Linked DNA regions of Anolis sagrei. The protein of the gene in region 1 interacts with the protein of each later gene in a pairwise test. Links are inferred from orthologs where the notes say so. Each region holds a gene or a part of one and is shown on either strand. Other genes may lie near its edges.

The links. The genes of interacting proteins can lie anywhere in the genome.
Region 2: the proteins of glutathione S-transferase A4-like (region 1) and C1H2orf50 interact in binary tests that used the Homo sapiens proteins (3 or more experiments, as listed by UniProt). The two-hybrid records come from large-scale screens. The link is inferred for Anolis sagrei from reciprocal best matches to the Homo sapiens genes GSTA4 and CIMIP5.

What each region holds. Positions count from the first base shown.
Region 1 is NC_090021.1:125,498,043-125,508,186, forward strand, and holds the start of glutathione S-transferase A4-like, read right to left. Parts: upstream 4,172-10,144; 5' UTR 4,064-4,171; intron 1-4,063. Other genes in the region: glutathione S-transferase A4-like, read right to left, coding at 8,196-8,321. UniProt on the Homo sapiens protein: Conjugation of reduced glutathione to a wide number of exogenous and endogenous hydrophobic electrophiles. This isozyme has a high catalytic efficiency with 4-hydroxyalkenals such as 4-hydroxynonenal (4-HNE).
Region 2 is NC_090021.1:129,701,830-129,712,361, forward strand, and holds the start of C1H2orf50 (uncharacterized protein C2orf50 homolog), read right to left. Parts: upstream 4,798-10,532; 5' UTR 4,449-4,797; coding exon 4,183-4,448; intron 1,795-4,182; coding exon 1,755-1,794; intron 710-1,754; coding exon 518-709; 3' UTR 1-517.

The DNA of each region.
Region 1 (10,144 bases):
GGAGTGGTGGTTCTTATGGAACTCTTCATTAATTTGAGTCTACCAAGAAGAGGCTGATAGCCATGCAGTGGGTGGCTTTCACAGTGTTCAACCTTATTTCTCACACAGTTAGCAACAATTTCTCATCACACATTGGGAGGGAATTATTATTATTATTATTATTATTATTATTATTATTACTGGAGGACCTCGAAAGTCCTATATTGGTGTTCTCTCTGGAAATCTCTACTCCTCCTGGAGAACATTGACAATAGAGTAACATTGGAGGACCTAGAGATTCCTAGACAGATTTAATAAAATATGTAAATAATCAAATCCTCAAAAGTCAAAACCACAAATGTGGATGGACAACTGTATATCTATTGAAATCTTATGGATTGGCAGATTGGAACTGGGTTGTGCTTGCTACATGTTGTTTCTAAGAATATTTGTGGTTTTGGCTCCCCTGGCGGCCAGAAAAAGTTAAATAGCCTCTGTCTATGTCTGTATATGTTTGTATGTCAAAAATTGGCATTGAATGTTTGCCGTATATGTGTACACTGTAATCCGCCCTGAGTCCCCTGCAGGATGAGAAGGGCAGAATATAAAAGCTGTAAATAAATAAATAAATAAATTTTGTAGTCTTATGCTAATAAGCCATGGCCAATTAAAGGATCTCATGGGACATACACAATTTATGTCTCTTTCTTCATTCATCTTCGCCACTTGTATTCTGGTTTGCTAGCCCTGTTTCCTTTTGAGAAGTGGTTGGTTGAAAGTGCCCACAGTCACAATATAAAACTGGTAAATGGTGTATTGCCTGAAATTGCTAAACGTTAACCACATCATCATGCTTTCTTGTGGCAATAGTTGATCCAAAAAAGCGGGGAGAGGAGTTATATGGGTGTGGCTATGAGATAAGGGCACAAACCCTAGTTGACTCATAAGTGCTAGCATTCAAAGCCTGGGTGAAAGCATAGTCTAATCCCATCATGAAAAGGTGATCTAAGCCCAACATTGTCCTCAAAAATGGAGAGATTAATGATGTTGCTGTGACTGAGTTGTTCCATAAACATCTTGACAGTGCACAAAGTCTCTCCCACTTCTACAGACCATGCCCTATGAGGAGCGTTTTAAAGAGCTGGGTATGTTTAGCCTACAGAAGAGAAGGTTGAGAGGAGGTGTGGTAACCATGTTTCAATGCTTGAAAGTATGACATAAGGAAGAGGGAGCAGGTTTGCTTTCTGCTGCCCTGGAGACTAGGATGCGGAACAATGGCTTCAAACTACAGGCAAGGAAATTCCTTCTGAACATTAGGAAGAACTTCCTAACTCTGAAAGCTGTTCAGCAGTGGAACTCTCTGCCCTGGAGTGTGGTGGCAGCTCCTTCCTTGGAGGCTTTTAAACAGAGGCCAAATGGCCGTTCGTTAGGGGCACTTTGGTTGTGCTTTTCCTGCATGGCAGTGGGTTGGACTGGATGGCCCATGCAACCTCTTCTGACTATTATTCTATGATTCTACAGACTCGGGCACTACTTATTTTGACACTAGTATTTCTGTTAAATAATTGTATTATTATTATATTAAATATTACGGTAAGGAACGAACAAAATGAAGCGATCTTCTATGATGTAATGCAGGTAGAGACTCAAATTCAGAACAAAATATCTTGAAGTTCTGCAAGATATTTGATACAGATTTAGACAATTTGTTGCATTTTGGTTAAAAAGACCATAGGTTTTTAAAACCCTAGGAGGGTTCAGGGGAAAGCAGTCCAGCACAAATCTATAACTGTATGAAAAAGACTATGGAAGCCATACTAATTCTATACCACTTTAACTGCCATGGATTTTTAAAAATTGTTTCAGAAGCGACTTGAGAAACTGCAAGTCACTTCTGGGGTGAGAGAATTGGCCGTCTGCAGAGACGTTGCCCAGAGGATGCCTGGATATGTTACCATCCTGTGGGTGACTTCTCTCATGGGTGGCTTCTCTCATGGGAAGCTGGAGCTGACAGATGGGAGCTCACCATGTTTTGCGGATTCGAACTGCCAGCCTTCAGGTCAGCAGGTCAGCCGGCTCAAGGGTTTAACTCATTGTGCCACCATGGCTCCTACTGCCATGGATCAATGCTATGGAATACTGGGAGTTGTAGCTTGCTAAGGTACCAGCACTCTTTGCAGAATCAGCTAAATGCCTTAGAAAACTACAACTCCCAGCATTCCATAGTATTGAGCCATGGTAGTAAAAAGTGATGTCAAACTGCATTAATTCTACTGTGTAGATGGACTCTATGGTATACTTCTAACCATGATCAGTGTGTCGAAGCACTGGCACAGTTCTGATATACCTATATTAATAACTTTGCAAAAGAAATAATAAAATGAGTGGCAAAACTACACAGGAACAGTTTACATGCAGAACTGTTTCCTATGATTTAATACAGACCTTCACCATTGAAACAGGAAACTGATGCCACCATTGCTTCATGCTCAAGATTACTTAGACCAAACACATCTTGTGTAATCTACGTAACTATCAAGAGAATGTTCACTGGATTGTAACCATTCTGCATTTCATCCCGCTGCTTCTAACTCTGCCAAGAATATATGGATGTCTGAGGAATCCACACCATGATGTCCTTCATTTTTATTTACAAAAAAGTTAAGAATATTTGAACAGCCAAAGGTTATGTTGTCTTAGATTGACTCCAAGTAAGAAGCTTTAAGGAGAAGCTGTCCGCAGCATCTGTACTGACTGATAGGCTTATCATCCTAATGCAGATACTACACTCTTGTCTCATCTTAAACATACGCTGCTGCATTAAGCATATGTAGAACAGCTAACATTTTAAGCAAACAGTCAAAAGTATGTTTGTTTAGAAGTAACTCCCATTATGCCTACTCCAAGGAAAGTCTCTTCCCATAGAGAACTGATACCTGTTTATTGAATTTTTTGTCTAGAAAAACCAAGTTGCTCTCTGGTCTGAGAATTGCAGACTTTCCATGCAATCCTAAGCTGATTCTATACTGCAGAATTAATGCAGTTTGCTATCATTGTCCTAATTTCTCACCAAACTACAAATCCCATAGCATTGAGCCATGACAATTAAAATGATTTTTTTTCGTGTCAGGAGCGACTTGAGAAACTGCAAGTTGCTTCTGGAGCGAGAGAACTGGCTGTCTGCAAGGATGTTGCCTAGGGGACGCCCGGATGTTTTGATGTTTTATCATCCTTGTGGGAGGCTTCTCCCATGTCCCTGCATGGGGAGATGGAGCTGACAGAGGGAGCTCAACTCACTGTCCCTGGATTCGAACTGCTGACCTGTCAGTCAACAGTCCTGCTGGCACAAGGGTTTAACCCATTGTGCCACTGGGTTTCCAAAGTGATGTTGAACTGCATTAATTGTACTGTGTACATGCATCAGGAGACATGCCTATTCAGAAATAAGACCTGTTGATTTCAGTGGTACTTTCCTACTTGAATGTATGACATTTAAGCCTGAAAATATATATTCTTTTTTTTAAAAAAATTACTGTATTCCACATGTTTTCCCCCCAGCACTTTCTAATAAATTGTGATAAACTCTCACAATATTCTTTTCGTACAAAGCAATGTTGTTTGGAATACAGAAGACCGGAACTCCCTGCCCAACACACACAATTCACAGTTACAGCAGGAGAAAAAGTATTTAATCTATTCAAAGAGATTCAAAGCAAAGAATGGCAGTCTAAAGTACATTTCACCCCTTCTCCAATATATCTAAGTACATTTAAGTATATTTTAATCTTTTACGTTCCAAAATTTGTACATGCATTCCTTTGCCTTGGCAAATCAACTCTATGCCTTCTGCCTACTTGGCTGGCTTTGACATGCGGTGTATTTGTAGATCTTTCACAGATGATCTTCTTTCATCTGTCAAAGATCTACAAATACACAGCAAGGATTGTAAACCTTAAATCAGCAAAAATTATATATTGTTTCTGTTGTGACCAGCAGTTTTGTTTATATTTAATCCGTTCTTCCTACACCAGCAGAATTCAAAGCATTTAGTGGTTGAAGAAAATATCTGTTCTGCCATACTTACCTTCTGCAAGGCTCAAGATACCTTCCCTCGTGTCTGCAAGAACAGTGCCTCAGACTTTTGTAATGCAGGAAACTCCACCTACTTTGGGGAAGACTCCGACTACCTCTCCCTCTGACTGTCTTCCCTGTCTGGCTTATGTATTTTTCAAACCTGTTTTTTGCATTTGAAATGGCTGGGCTTACTAATATTTAAAGGAAAATGTACTATAACAGACCCTTGGACATGTAGTAAAACAGTCAATCGTGAATTTGGTGAAAGCTATTGTGTAAAACCGTCAATTTTTCATGGAGTTATTTATCTTGTCAGAACAGAATTGAGAATACAGTTATAATGTATTTAAAAAAAAAAACCACAAACAAAGTTAAGAACTTGACATTATGCTAAATGTCCTTTAACCAGAAACTGGCCACTTGGAGTGCCTCTGGTGTCGCTGTAAGAAGGTCCTCCATTGTGTATCTTGCAGGGCTCAGGTTGCACTACAGTAGTTTGCTCTTCTCCGCACTTGCATGTCATGGACTCCACTTTGCATGGGAGGTTGCGGGTTGGGAAAAGTTTTTGGGATATAATGGAAGGAGGGCTTTCTTTGGCTAATGTATCAGATGCCATGGTCTGATAGCTACCATTCCCAGATAACCTGAAGGTGGTCTAAAAGTGTGTCTAAAAGTGTGTTCAGGGATGACCAAACCTGTCTTAGATGAAAGGAAAACATGCCTACATAGTTCTTATCACAAGATCCATCTAAGAATGCCTTCAAAATGCAGATCATGCCTTCTGTTTAGCACACCATCTCATAGACCATCTTCTAAACTCGTATATTGTCCCATTTTAGCCATATTCCCCACCTGTTTAACGAGAAGAATTAGGTGATTTTAAGATTTGGGTCCTTCTCATGAGAATCCACCATTTAGTGTTTTAATGCTACTACTTCACAGTAGCACAGTAACACACTTTTGAGTTTCCCAAGTACATGTAAATCTCTCTATTCCTTCCAGCATAATAAATATGGATGGCCTAAGAAACATGGGTTTTACCATTCTCAACCTTTTCCCATTAGGATATGTTGCCATACTTTGTTTTGCAGTGCAGTGACCAACAGTACTCTGAGGATTCCTGTAAGTGACAATCCAAGTTAACAAATCAACATTGCCAGCACTTTGGTAAATATAGCTGGAGTCTTAAATAGTAATTGCAAAAAAAAATCTTGGATGTCTTTTAAACTGTAAGGAAATGTATTGTCGGAGGCTTTCATGGCTGAAATCACTGGGTTGTTGTAGGTTTCTCGGGCTGTATGGCCATGTTCTCGATGCATTCTCTCCTGATGTTTTGTCTGCATCTATGGCAGGCATCCTCAGAGGTTGTGAGGAAATGATTGTACACAAAGAGAATCCATAATAGTGCAAGGAATAAACTGAAAAATTATATGGTTACCTTAAATATCTTTAAAATGTATTTTTTTTATATTTTTGCATGAGGGTTGGAGCACACTTTAGTGACTGTTTTAACAGTATGTGATTGTGCTGCTTATTTTATAATATCACGTGGCATTCCTAGTTTTCCTCCATTGTATGGCTGTAACTTTTAATTCACAAGAGAAACCCATGAATAGGATTCTGAAGATGCTTAAGTCCAGTGTTAGGAGTGGTACAATAAGTAACTAGTGTTGTTGCCACAGTACTTAGTAAATCTATGTGGTGGAGTGAGTGTAACTTTTCTCCATTCCACTTCCCTCTTCTCAAGCTTCAACTTTCAGTGACTAGACAGAGAGAACTTCCAGCTGTGTTGCCACAAGTCGCTCCTTTTGCTTCATTCACCATTTATTTTATTTTATTTTATTTATTGAATTTTGCAGTTTTTTCCTAGCGCTATTCTGCTTGCTTGTTTGTTGTATAACCAAATAAGCCTTTTCTTTGTGTTGGATATTCTGCAGAGCTATTTTTGGAACATTATTGTTTCATGTTCCATTGGGATATCAAAAATTGAAATATCAAAACACAAATGTTTTGTGTTTTTATATCCCAATGGTTGGAAAGTTTAATATTTTTAAGATATAAAAGGGTAAATTTTAATTATTTTACAGAGAAAGAAGTAAAACACCAACCCCATCCACACTGCATTTATAATGGAGATTGAACTGGATCATATGGCAGTGCAGACTCATATAATTCAGTTCAATGTTGCATTAAATGAGGGCACTTCTACTCAGGACCAAAACCCATGACCTATCACGGTTAACCCGAGTTGCCCAAACAATGTGAGGCCATTGCATTAGTGGTTGAAAAATAATTGCATGTTGTAATCTTTCTGCCGCTCTACACTCCACATCCCTTATTCATCCATGTTCTGTTGCAATGTGTATAACATGGATGTCAGTTGTATGGAGGAGAACAAAATATCATAGAAGTGCTGCTGTATACATACTCCACATTCCTTATTCATCCATGTTGTGTTGCAAAGTGTGCAACATGGATGCCAGTTGGATGGAGAAGAACAAAAATATAAAAATTCATCTATTTTTCTGAATTATTTGCCAGTTTCTTATCTGTGTCTCATCATGCCATGTATTTCAGTACTTGATTGTTCTTTGTTATGATAGTACAGTACTTATGTTTTCTTATTCTTCTAATTTTTGACATTTTAATGGCATTTTTGAAAGTAAAAGGAATTGAATTTGTTTTTGTTACAAACCACCTTTAATATTCCAAACCTATATTGGAGCAAAATATTAGAAATTGAGCTGCCGATATACATGGAGCAGTAAACAAAATATTGATTCTTATTCATTTTTATTGTTAATTATCAGATTTCTCATGTATTTCCCCAATATATATTTGGATGTTTGTTTTCTTATACACAGGCAGTCCCCGAGTAACAAACATCCAACTTGCAAATGACGCATAGTTACAAGCAGGAGTGAGATGACAGGAAGTGAAAGAAATCTAACCTTCAGAAGGAAATTCACTCCTGGAAGAGTTATCATGGGGAAAGGTTCTCTCCATTGAAGCTTTCTCACCAATAGCAAGCCAAATATTTTAAAATCCAATTATCACGGGGAAAGAAAGTGAGGTGAAATCCTCTGAACAGGGGGACAGACTGCAAAAAAAAAAAAGTCCCCAAGGATGTCAACTCTGTGTTATCCAAAGTGTGTGCGTGTCTGTATATGTGTATGTGTGTATATATGTGTACACACAGACACACATATGGAGTTACACCTTTAAAAGCACCTGCTCTGGCTTATAAATTTAACCCAAGAACAAAGCTACAGACCTCATCTTGTTCATAGCTTGGGGATAGCCTGTAGAGCAGCATTTCTCAACTTAAGGTTGGGACCCCTGGGGGAGTCACGAGGGGGGTTTCAGAGAGGTCGCCAAAGACTAACATAAAACATATATTTCTGATTATTTTTGGTAGAGAAGGCTGAAGATCTCTCCCCTTGTCCTTCTCTTCCTCTTTGGAAACACCAAAAGCCCTCCTCCTGGGTGATTGGCCAGCCTCTCAGCCAATCACAGCAGGAGGAGGGCTTTAGGTGTTTCTGAGGCTCCAAGCAGGGAGGGGAGAGCAGGTGTGTTATCTTCTAAATCACTGTCAATTTCTCCCAAATCCCTCCAGTATTTTCTGTTGGTCATGGGTGTTCTGCGTGGGAAGTTTGGCCCAATTCTATCGTTGGTGGGGTTCAGAATGCTCTTTGATTGTAGGTGAACTCTAAATCCCAGCAACTACAATTCCCAAATGACAAAATCACCCCCCCCCCCAACTCCACCAGTATTCAAATTTGGGCGCATCGGGTATTTGCGCCAAATATGGTTCAGTGAATGAAAATGCATCCTGCATATAAGATATTGACATTACAGTTCACAACAGTAGCAGAATTACAGTTATGAAGTAACAATGAAAATAATTTGATGGTTGGGGGTCACCACAACATGAGGAACTCTATTAAGGGGTGGCGGCATTAGGTTGGTTGAGAAACACAGCTGTAGAGGAAAAAAACGTTTGGATTAACAATTATTATAAATGTTTATCAGTTAAATCATAGGAAACTAGTATCTAGATGCAACCCTTCAATGCTAAGAGATATTTTTAGAGATGTACAGAACCGCTACTTCTCTAATAGGCTTTAACACATCTTCTGTTTTTACTTCCTATTGAAAACTCTATTTGCTGTTTGCAGTAACTTTTCATCAGGTGGAGGTTTCCTTTGACTGCCAGGCTGGAGGAACGTCTTAATCGTAGGAACTTCACACATCCTTGCTTTAAAGGCCTGAAACAAGAAACAAAATAACCTGAAAAGTAAACTAAAAATGTCAATACTAAGATGACTTTGAATGATTTTCCATAGCGACATCTTCCATACGAGTATGGAAATTGTGGCACACTGACCCAGATCAACCCAGATCAACTTGTTGTAGCAGTTCTCAATGTCAGGAGCAGGTCTTTTATGAAGCAGTTGGATGTTAAACATGCATTTCGAATCAAGCAGATACAAAATATTTTGCATTAACAAAAATGTTCAAAACAATGAATTGCTTCTAAGCTTTCTATGCCAGTTACTGTGATAATTCCAGCTCAGATGGAGGGAACATGAAAGCTGGAGAAGGGTAATCTTCATTCTGTTAATGAGGAAATTCCAATAACAAAGACGTATAAACAACAGCTTTTCTACAACACCGATTGAGTGAATCCAACTAGGAATATTAGGATTCCAATATGAATCCTCTGGCTAGTTCATTTGTGTGTGTGTGTGTGTGTGTATAGGAAAGGTAAAGGTTTTTCCCTGACATTAAGTCCAGTCGTGTCCGACTCTGGGGTGTGGTGCTCATCCCCACTTCTAAGCCAAAGAGCCAGCGTTGTCCATAGACACCTCCAAGGTCATGTGGCCAGCATGACTACATGGAGTGCATTACCTTCCCGCCGGAACGGTACCTATTGATCTACTCACATTTGCATGATACACAGGTGTCTAGAGACCCAATCATATCATATTTCTTCAGTTCCTAAGTCCCATCTATACTGCCATAAAATGAACTGGAATATATGGCTGTATAGACTCATATAACCTAGTTCAAAGCAGATAATGTGGATTATTTGATTTGATAATCTGGATTATATGGCCGTGTAGAAAGGGGCCTCAGATTCCCATGTCAGATTTGCATTTCTAAAAGACATGTTAAAATACCCGACATGTATAGTCCATGATGACGTCAATTCAATATCTTTATGGTCTATACATATCGGACACTTTAAAATGTCTTTTTAAATTAAAATCTAGACAATTAGTACAGCAGGCACCTTAAAAGGCAAACAATGAGTTTAAATGATATCTGAACCTAGGCAACAAAAGCCAGATGGCACTCAATATCTTTGGACCATTCCACACAGCCCTCTATCCCAGAATATCAAGGCAGAAAATCCCACATTATCTGGGTGAGGACTCAGATAACCCAGTTCAAAGCAGATATTGTGGGATTTTCTGCCTTGATATTCTGGGATAGAGGGCTGTGTGGAAGGGCCCCCTGTGGTCTGATTTAGTAATTTTTTTCTTACATGGATACAATGCACTCTTGTAATAGGCGACATCAACATTATATGAGTTAATCATATTTAACATGATTTCTGGTTCTCATCTAAGGCCCCTCCCACACAGCTAAATACAACCCCACATTATCTGCTTTGACCTGGAATATATTCCAGTGTGGACTCAGATAACCCAGTTCAAAGCAGATATTGTGGGATCTTCTACCTTGATGTTCTGGGCTATATGGCTGTGTGGAAGGGCCCTAAGATGAAAATCCTAGCTTTTAGAAGAGTGCTTTTGCAGTTCCTTAATATATCTCCTTGTTCTCATATGCATCAGTTCTTAATTGGCAATATCTGTAGCTGGAATATTTGGAAAATGTGCATCAAATTACTAATGTTATTAATTTTTATATACATTCTATTTTATTTTTTAAACCCTCCTTACAGCTGCTATGGTGTTCTTAATTGTGCAGAATATTCTTAATTGTGGAGACATCACAAATACTGGCTTAAAGGCATAAAAGGAGGAAAGCTATAAAATATTCATGGCAAAACATTTAGCTTGCA
Region 2 (10,532 bases), about 4.2 Mb from region 1:
TGAAGTATCTGTCACACAAACAAAGTTTTTGCCTTCTACTCAAGAGTCTTCTTTTTTAGGAACTGACCAATCAGAAACAAACATCTAAAACCTGGGAACAAACCCATATAAAAAATCCTGGAATTACTGAATGCAAGGACATACAGACATGAGAAAATCTGCATATTTGGCTCAAAACCACAATACTCCTGCACCGGGAAATCTCGCGTTTTTTGCCTTTTGTAGTGATTGCTTCAGTGTTTATAGGGAACCACATCCGGCTGCCCTCCTGTTTGCTGCGGAAGCTCCTGGGATAAAGGTACTGTCTGGACGGGCTCTCATACTCGTCTTCCCAGGATCATATTAGCTAAGTTTGGAGTAAGTTTTTGATTACTAGAAACCTTGTACTTTTATTGGCCAGTGTCAATAAATTTGGCATTTGAAGGAAAACAATGTAATTTTGCCAATATTGTCATATTTTATCATTTGCAAAGTGAGCAGTATATTCTTTTCAAAACAAAAATGTTGCTTTTTAATTCTAGGAAGCCTGGAGTTCCTGTTCAAGTTTCTTTTTCCTTCTTCCATAGCTGAGGAAGAAATCCATTTTAACCAATGTTTTACCAAGATCAGTATTCATTCTGCTGCCAACCATATGGCTGGTGGTGTTAGGAATTTTGTCTGAAAATACTGACACATATTCAGGGAGTGGTTCAGGCTCCTTTTTCCTGCCCTGGAAAAAAAGAGAAATGACAAGTTATCTAGATATCTAGCTCTAGAACTAATTGGGGTGGGGGTGGAAATTATGATCCCTTCTACACTGCTATATAATCCAGATTATCAAGAAAATAATCCATATTATCTGCTTTGAACTAGATTATATAAGTCTACACAGCCATATAATCCAGTTCAAAGCAGATAATCTGGATTTTATATGGCAGTATTCCTAGAACGTTTCAGTCAACATGGCTAGTAACATTCTCAAACCTTGAGGAATTCAACAGGATTTCGTATTTAGCAGTGACCAGATGGAGGCACCTACACTGTAGAGTGGGATTTGTGGTTTGATGAGGCACAGCATTCTTTAGCCTCAGCATTAAATCTCTGCAATTAAAGTAGTGTCAAACTGCATTCATTCAACAGTGTAGGTGAACCCTTAGAAATTCACACAAATGGTGGCAATTATGTGCTGTTGTTTGCTTCAGGCAACTAGCAATTAGGAAAACAGTATCTTTAAATAATAAAATAGAACAGTGATTCCCAAAGTGGGCGTTACCGCCTGCTGTTGGGCACTGCAGCGATCGGGGTGGCATGGTAATGGCCACAGGTGCATTTTGGGGCAATGAATAACTGTAAGGTGGCGGTGAAAGCATAAAAGAAAGAAGAGAAGATCTAGAAAAATTGATTTCCAGGGGGTAGGCCAAATATATGTATATACAGGGTTAGTCAAAATGCATAGGCCAATAAGCCATTCAATTGAATGGCTTATTGGCCTATGCATTTTGACTAACCCTGTATATTATGAGATATCTTGGAAATGGGATTAAATAGAAAATTATTGATGTTTCATGTGCACCTGACACACATAGCTTGAAGGTATACACAATATTTGAATAATTCTGTGCATGAAACAAAGTTTGTGTGCATAGAATTATCAGAAAATAAAAGTGTCCCTGTCTCAGCCACTTAGTTGGACAATTTCAGATTTTGGAGTGTTTTGGAATTCCAGATTGGAGATGTTCAATCAGTGTTTTCTAACAAGCAAATCTATAACTTACCATTGGATCATAATCCTTTAGAAAACTCCAGTTCTGATACCTTCAGGATAAAAAAAAGCATCTTAAGTTGGTATGAAACATGCAGAAATTAAAGTGGCCTTTAAAGTATCCAAAACAAATAAATACGTATGTTTAAAGTCAACTTCTGCTGTCATTACCATACACCACAGAATGAGCAACGGAGACTACAAATACTGTTTACCCTTATTTGAGAGTAAGTCCCACTGAATGCAATGTAGAAATGCCTTGGTGACCCAGCAGGTGTGGAAATAATTCACACCCACAAATGATTTTCCATCTAATTTGATAGAGAGTGCAGTTCTTCATGAATGTAGAGAGTCTCCTGCAGATGAAGGCTATATGCCTGGCATAGGTGCTCTCACATCATAACTGAGAAGGGAGTATAGCGCAGGGCATTTGCCATCAATGTGTTTAATAGTGACAAAAGACACTGAAGTATTTTCCAACACTTGTTTCCAGAGGTCACAGCAAGACTTCACTATTGCCCTGCAAGAATCAAGACTATGTTCTGCACCGAGAGCATAGTGTCTAGATCTAGGGAAGTAATGCTACCCCTCTATTCCACTTTGGTTAGGCCACACCTGGAATATTGTGTCCAATTCTGGGCACCACAATTCAAGAGAGATATTGACAAGCTGGAATGTGTCCAGAGAAGGGCGACTAAAATGGTCAAAGGTCTGGAGAACAAGCCCTATGAGGAGCGGCTTAAGGAGCTGGGCATGTTTAGCCTGAAGAAGAGAAGGCTGAGAGGAGATATGATACCCATGTATAAATATGTGAGGCGAAGCCACAGGGAGGAGGGAGCAAGCTTGTTTTCTGCTTCCTTGGAGACTAGGACGCGGAACAATGGCTTCAAACTACAAGAGAGGAGATTCCATCTGAACAAGAGGAAGAACTTCCTGACTGTGAGAGCCGTTCAGCAGTGGAACTCTCTGCCCCAGAGTGTGATGGAGGCTCCTTCTTTGGAAGCTTTTAAACAGAGGCTGGATGGCCACCTGTCAGGGGTGATTTGAATGCAATATTCCTGCTTCTTGGCAGGGGGTTGGACTGGATGGCCCATGAGGTCTCTTCCAACTCTTTGATTCTATGATTCTATGATTCTATCATGTTTCCAACATCTGCTGACCAAAGCCAGGTACAAAACAATAGGGTCAATGTGGTAGCTGGGAGAGGAATCAGAAGTCGGTAGAGTAATTTACTTACTACAACCCATAAGCCATATGCTAGATATAATTTAATTAAGTTTAGACTGTATGCTATAATTTGGTCTATATGTGAGTTTAATTTGGCACATGTGGGTTTGTCCATGCTGGTTCCTGGATAGCCGGTATTGTTTTGTATTTATTGTTGAATGTTTTGCCTTTTTGTCATTGGAATCCACCCTGACTCCCCTTGGGGAGATAGGATGGAATATAAATAAAGTATTATTATTATTATTATTATTATTATTATTATTATTATTATTATTTTACTGACACAAAACCACAGCATGTCACAGCAAATGAGATCTATATGCTGGATTTCGTATCACAAAATCACAAGTCGAACACTTCCCAAGTGTCTAGGACTGTGTGAAGTATTTTCGAATGATGTGGCCAGATCCAAGTAAGGTGGCCTTTTGCAGTTGACAGATCGCGATTTTCTCAATGTTTATTGTTTCCAAATGCCAGCTGAGGTCTTTTGGCACAGCACCCAGTGTGCCGATCACCACTGGGACCACCTGTACTGGCTTATGCCAGAGCCGCCTTATTATTATTATTATTATTATTATTATTATTATTATTATTATTACATGAGCTGACTGGCACTTGAAGTATGCATTTACAATAATACAACAATGTTTTGCACAGCCTAATCTGATATACAGTATGACCTCCATAATATGATATATAATATGATCTCACAGTATTCTCAGTATTCTCAATTTCCTTTATGCACATCTGACAAAATATGTCATCTCTAGACATTTTCTGTTTCCTCTGTGATCTTGGGCTGGTGGTCCTTCATTTCAATTCGATTCACCATTATCCATTGTCTCATACATATCCACACAAAGTCTGGGAATGTATTCCCTGTTGATACAGAGGTTTTATTGTATGGACAGGGAGATGATTTTTTGTTGTTGTTGGATAAGTGGGAATCCGAAATCACTGTTAATCTGCAAATGATCTCCTGGCACACAATTCAGATCTATCTTCTGTCTCCATCTGTGTAAGATCATTGCCCCCTTCTACATGGAGATAGTGTTAACATAGGAACAAGATAACATAAGAGAAATGTCTATGAATTAAGACGACAAATAGATGTCACAGCTTGTAGATTACCACGGCACATGTGTGACTAAATCAGTTATTGAAATACTCTTGTGCTAAAATGCAGAATTTAAAAATAGTGCTGAGTTACTCACCAATATTTGGTTGTCCTTCTTTCAGCCTCCACAAACTCTCTCCAAACCTTGTCTTGTCGAACCTGATCCAGAGGACCTTTCTCTTCTCCCTGGCTTTTGCTGGATGGTTTCCCCGAGCTCTGTGTGGTGGCAAGAAGAGTATTTCCAGACTGGTTGCTGTTCAGTGAAGGAGATGAAGATGACGTTAAAACCCTCCCAGGGCTGGTAGCTGGAGATCGGTGCCCTGCTGATGTACTTCTCCTGAGTCCATTTGCTCTACTCCCCATCTTCTATGTGTTTTCTCCACTATTAGGAGCTAGCAAGACTCTAAAAATTCACAGTGGTCTTGCCCAACATTTTCTCTAAGGTTGTTGATTACATACAGAAATCTTGTTCAAGAAGTATAAAGAAAGCCCCAGTATCCAATAAGCAATATTTCTACCAACCACATGATAAGATCTAGCAATTTCTTGCATAAGTTTGGGTCACATGCAAAATTGGTTAGCCCAACATTATTTTGTTAGGTGAATGAGTTTGTACAATGCATGGAGGTAAGTTATAGGGTAGTAAATTGAGTATGTGTCTATTTAAGCCAGAAAGTTATTTTGAAAGGCTTAAGTTAGCAGTTTTTTTATTGTGTTTTGCACTTCAGTCTCTGAAAGACATGCTACAAAGATGTGTGCTTTCTAATGGCAACATCGCTATAGGAGTTCCCAGTCTACCCACTGCAAGTGTAACAAGAGTCTGTTGTTGTAGGTAGTACTACAGCCGGCTTTCCTTCTGCTTGCGGAGCTGAAACAAAACACTCAAGAGAGTTCAGGCTTTCCTGGTGTGTGTTTACTGTCTCCATTGGAAACCAGACAGGCTTTGTCATGAATATTCATCACAGACAGAAGGTAGGATGTACCCGAGAAACACAGCTGCTGGAGGCTAGGCTTTGAGTGTGTTGGGATTTTTAAAAATAGATGTTGTTTTTGTTGTGTGAATTCACATAGTTTCCAACTTATGGAGACCCTAAGGCTAACATATTACAAAATTTCTTGGTAAAATTTATCCGAAGGAGTTTGTCTTTGCTTCCCTCTGAAGTTGAGTGTGAATTGGCCAAGGTCATCTATGGGCTTCCGTGACCCTGTGGGGATTTGAACTATTTATTTATCCTATCAGGAGCGAACTAAGGGTACAGTTGTAATGTATTTCAAAAACCACAGAGTTTTTAAAAAACTTGGCATATTAAATATCCTTTGACCAGTAGCTGGCCACTTGGAGTGCCTCTGGTGTTGCTATAAGAAGTTCTCCATTGTGCACGTGGCAGGGCTCAGGCTGCATTGTAACAGGTGGTCTTGCATGTTGTGGACTCCACTTTGTGGCTCCATTTCTTAAGGTTGGTTCTGCATCTTGTGGTGCCAGAGCACAATCTGTTCACAACCTTCCAAGTCACCCAGTCTTCTGTTTGTCCAGGAGGGCTTTCCCATTTCGTATCAGCCATGGATTGAGGTTCTGGGTTTTAGCCTGCCACTTTTGGGCTCTCGCTTGCTGAGTATTCCTGCGAGTATTTCCTGAGATCTTAGAAAGGTATTTCTTAATTTAAGGCATTGGTGTGCTGGCTGATATCCGAACAGGGATAGGCCGGAGATGTCACTGCCTTGGCCCTTTCTATGTGGGGTTGCCTTTAAAGACTGTTCAGAAACTCCAACTAGTCCAACAGGCGGCAGCCAGATTACTAACTGGAGTGACATACAAGGAGCATACCACCCCCCCTGTTGTGTCAGCTCCACTGGCTGCCGGTCCATTTCCGAACACAATTCAAAGTGCTGGTCTTGACCTATAAAGCCCTATATGGTTCTGGCTCAGCTTACTTGTCTGAACGAATCTCCCTCTACGCCCTGCCTCAGACTTCAAGATCGTCCAGGGAAGCTCTGCTCTCGGTCCCACCTTCTTCGCAAATGTGTTTGGTGAGACGAGAGACAGAGCCTTCTCAGTGGTGGCCCTCCCACCTCTGGAACACCTTCCCCAGGGAGATCAGGTCAGCTCCATCCCTCCTCTCCTTCAGGAAGAAGCTTAAATCATGGTTCTGGGGCCAGGCATTTGTGGAGCAGGCTTGATAGCGATTGCAATGTTTATGTGAACTGACAATGGACAGGCTCTGACAAAGTCTTGGGACGCTGAATTGGCTTGGATTTGGCTACATAGTTGTTAATAATGTTTTTAAATTGATTTTAACTTAATGGTTGTATTTAATGTGTAATGTTGTGATATATTGTGTATGTATTCTGTATGTGTGGGCATCGAATTTTTGCCGTTGTAAGCCACCCTGAGTCCCCCTTCGGGTCTTGAGAAGGACGAGGTACAAATGTTGGAAATAAATAAATAAATAAATATTTGGCAGTAGAAAAGGCGGCGACGATTGCTAATCAGGTCGGGGCAGCCTTCAGACTTTGTGTTGCCTATTTTGGACCGGAGGCTTGAAACAGAGCTGTACTTTCATCTTCATTTTATAATATAGAAGGGAGATTATAGCACATTAGTTTTGTATTCTGATTTTTATAATATGTTCTTTTTAAGGCTCACTTTACTAAATTTATTTGACCAGTACTTGCCAAAGGCACTGAAACAAAGCAGGTCAAAAATTTATTGGATCTCATCTATGTCGATTTTTTTAAAAGGACAATTATGTTCCATAAAGTGGAAAGGGGTAGGAAACAAGAAGACAACATTACTGATAGATTCATTCATTCATTCAATCAATCAAGGAAGCCACATCCCTAAATTTGCAAGACCTGAGCACATGACAGGATGTCTTAAATATCTCTCAATCATAATGTCACCATAATTCGAAGTCAAGTTAACCAAATAATGACAACAATTTTGTAGTTAAGTTTGTTAGAAAGAGAACACATGACATGTGTCTAATGCATAAAATGGTACATGAACGGTGATGAATAGCAGAATCAGAAAATGTTTTTGGAGTTTGTTTGCAATTACTTTAAGTAAACAGTTAAAACCTTTTCACTCAATACAGTGAACTACCATATAAAATGGAAACACTTGTAGTACATGCTCCGTTTCTCAGAAGATCAATGAAAAGGAACACCTAAGCAAAATGGAAATATCGGTAAATGTTGGTTTCTTTTATTTTACCCACTAAGCAGATCTTAGCCACGAGGGGGTACTATAAGGCAAAGTATGCAATTCAAAGATACAGGCAGTCCCCAAGTTAAGAACAAGATTGGTTCTGTAGGTTTCTACATAAGTTGTATTTGTATGTAAGTTGGAACAGGTACATTTTAAGTGTAACTCCAGCCAAATATATATGTCTTTTAGCTCTAGATAGCTTAAGGAAGGGTTAGCACCCCTATGGTGTTAGTTTTGCTATCTATGCTCCTCTTCAGAGGATTTTGCCTCACTTTCTTTCCCTGTGAAAATTGGATTTTGAAAAATTTGGCATGTTGTAGAAACAATTATTTATGCTAAAGCTTCAGTGGAGAAACCTTTTCCCCCATAATAAGTCCTTCAGGAGTGAATTTTCCTTCCGAGGGTAGATTTCTCTCTTTCTGTTGTCTCACCCTCATTCCCACCCTAAATATCTTGGTGTCTACTTAGTTGGAACACTAACATTCAAGACACATTATGAGAACACAAAGTAGCTGCACACAATAACATCCTGAGGAAACTTACTGATAGCGCATGGGGTGCAGACCCAAAATTAATAGGAACATCAGCCCTGGCCTTGTCTTACTCAATTGCTGAGTATGCCTGCCCCGTCTGGTATGAATCTGCCAACGCAAAGCAGGTGAATATAGCACTGAATTATTCACAGAACATAGAATCATAGAGTTGGAAGAGACCCCGTGAGCCATCCAGTCCAACCTTCTACCAAGAAGCAGGAAAATTGCCATCCAGCCTCTGTTTAAAAGTCTCCACCAAACTCCGGGGTAGAGAGTTCCACTGCTGAACACCTCTCAGTCAGGAGGTTCAGGTGAAACCTCCTTTCTTGTAGTTTGAAGCCATTGTTCCTCGTCCTATTCTCCAGAGCAGCAGAAAACAGGCTTGCTCCCTCCTCCCTATGACTTCCTCTCACATATTTATACATGGCTATCATATCTCCTCTCAGTCTTCTCTTCTGCAAGCTAAACATGCCCAGCTCTTTAAACTGCTCCTAATAAGGCTTGTTCTCCAGACGCTTGATCATTTTAGTCACCCTCCTCTGGACACATTCCAGCTTGTCAATATCTCTCTTCAATTGTGGTGCCCATAATTGGACACAGTATTTCAGGTGTGGTCTGACCATGGCAAAATAGAGGGGTAGCATGACTTCCCTGGATCTAGACCAGGGGTCCACAAACTTTTTAAGCAGAGGGCCAGGTCACAGTGCCTCAAACTGTTGGAGGGCCGGATTATAATTTGAAAAATAAAACATGAATTCCTGTGCACGCTGCACATATCTTATTTGTAGTGTAATAAACACTTTAAAACAATACAATAATTAAAATGAGGATCAATGTTAATAAATATAAACTTATTAGTATTTCAATGGGAAATGTGGGCCTGCTTTTGGCTGATGAGATAGGATTGTTGTTGTTGTTATGTTCTTTCAAGTTGTTTCAGACTTAGATTGACCCTGAGCAAGGGCCGGGTAAATGACCTTGGAGGGCTGCATCCGGCCTCCGGGCCTTAGTTTGAGGACCCCTGCTCTAGACACTATACTCCTATTTATGCAGGCCAAAATCCCATTGGCTTTTTTAGCTGCAGTGTTACATTGTTGGCTCATGTTTAACTTGTTGTCCACAAGGACTCCAAGATCTTTTTCACGTGTACTGCTCCCGATCCACGCGTCCCCCATTCTGTATCTTTGCATTTTGTTTTTTCTGCCTAAGTGGAGTATCTTGTATTTGTCATGGTTGTATCTTACATTTGTCACTGTTATGAAACATGTAGAATAATCACAGGATTACACCTATTGATAGACTCTATAATCTAGCTGGCATCCCCCCCCCCACCCCCATGTACAATGGGAAGTTGCTGCCAATTGCAAGAGAAATAAGGTTAAACATTGTGAAAGCTACCCACTGTATGGCTATCAGCCTCCTCCCAGTAGACTGAGATACTCTGCTTTGAGTTTAGTTCTGGCATACTCGCAGCCAGAACTAAACTCAAAGCAGAGTATCTCATACCAACCCAAAAAGATTTGTATCTCCCGTGGAGAACATACTTTCATGTGCAAAATTTTTCCACCAGAGGAAGGCCTGAGGTAGGCCGAAACCGGTCGTGGTCGGCTGTCCCACAAGCTACTTATAAGACGACACGACTGTACTAAAAGTTTGCACCACATTGTTTGTTGTAGCTGTGGGGTTAACAGTGCAGCATGTATATATATTGTTGTTGAATTGTGGTAGGCTGTTACTCAAGCTACTTATAAGAAAATACGACTGTACTAAAAGTTTGCACCATACTGTTTGTTGTCACTGTGAGGTTAACAGTGCAGCATGTTTATATACTGTTGTTGAATTATATCATTGTTTATGTTATACAAGTGGTATTTTTGTTATATACATTTCACTCAGGAACCCATATATATTATTGTATAAATATTTAATGCCCTTAATAGGCATTATTATCAAATTGCATGTGAATAAAGTATGTCTAAAGCAAAATAAAAGTAGGATTGGGGAGTACATGGCCCTCCATATGTTACTACAGTGCAGTTCCCATCGGCCCTATCCAGTATAGCCAATAGTAATGGACAATGGGATTGGAGTACAGCTATATCCGGAGGCCATACCTTCCCTATCCTTGATTAGAGCAATCAGCTGTGCCGTTTACCTCACAAGATCATAGCATCACTTGAGCGTGCCGTCTTAAACTATTTCATGCCTTTAAAAGGTGTTATGGAAACTGTCCTTCTGATACATCATGTGGAAATCGGATTATCCTTTTGATTCTTTTAGGGGGGGACACTGTTCTTTTCCTGTGTCTATGGATGACACCACAAAGTGGTGAATAGTTACTGGGGAAGACTGTATTTTCATTATTGGCATCCTTTTTTGGAATAGTTTTCTCAGAAAACACATCAGGGAATCTTCTTTGCGATTTCTTTAATATCAGGTGAAGTGGGATTTTAAAATATTATTGGTTTTAGAAGAACATTTAAAATAAATGTTATTTTAGAGCCCCCTGGTGGCACAGCGAGTTAAATTGCTGAGCTGCTGAATTTGCTGACCGAAAGGCTGGCGGTTTGAATCTGGGGAGCGGGGTGAGCTCCCTGTTTTGGCCCCAGCTTCTGCCAACCTAGCAGTTCAACAACATGCAAATGTGAGTAGATCAATGGGTACTGCTCCAGAGGGGAGGTAATGGTGGTCCATGCTGTCATGCCG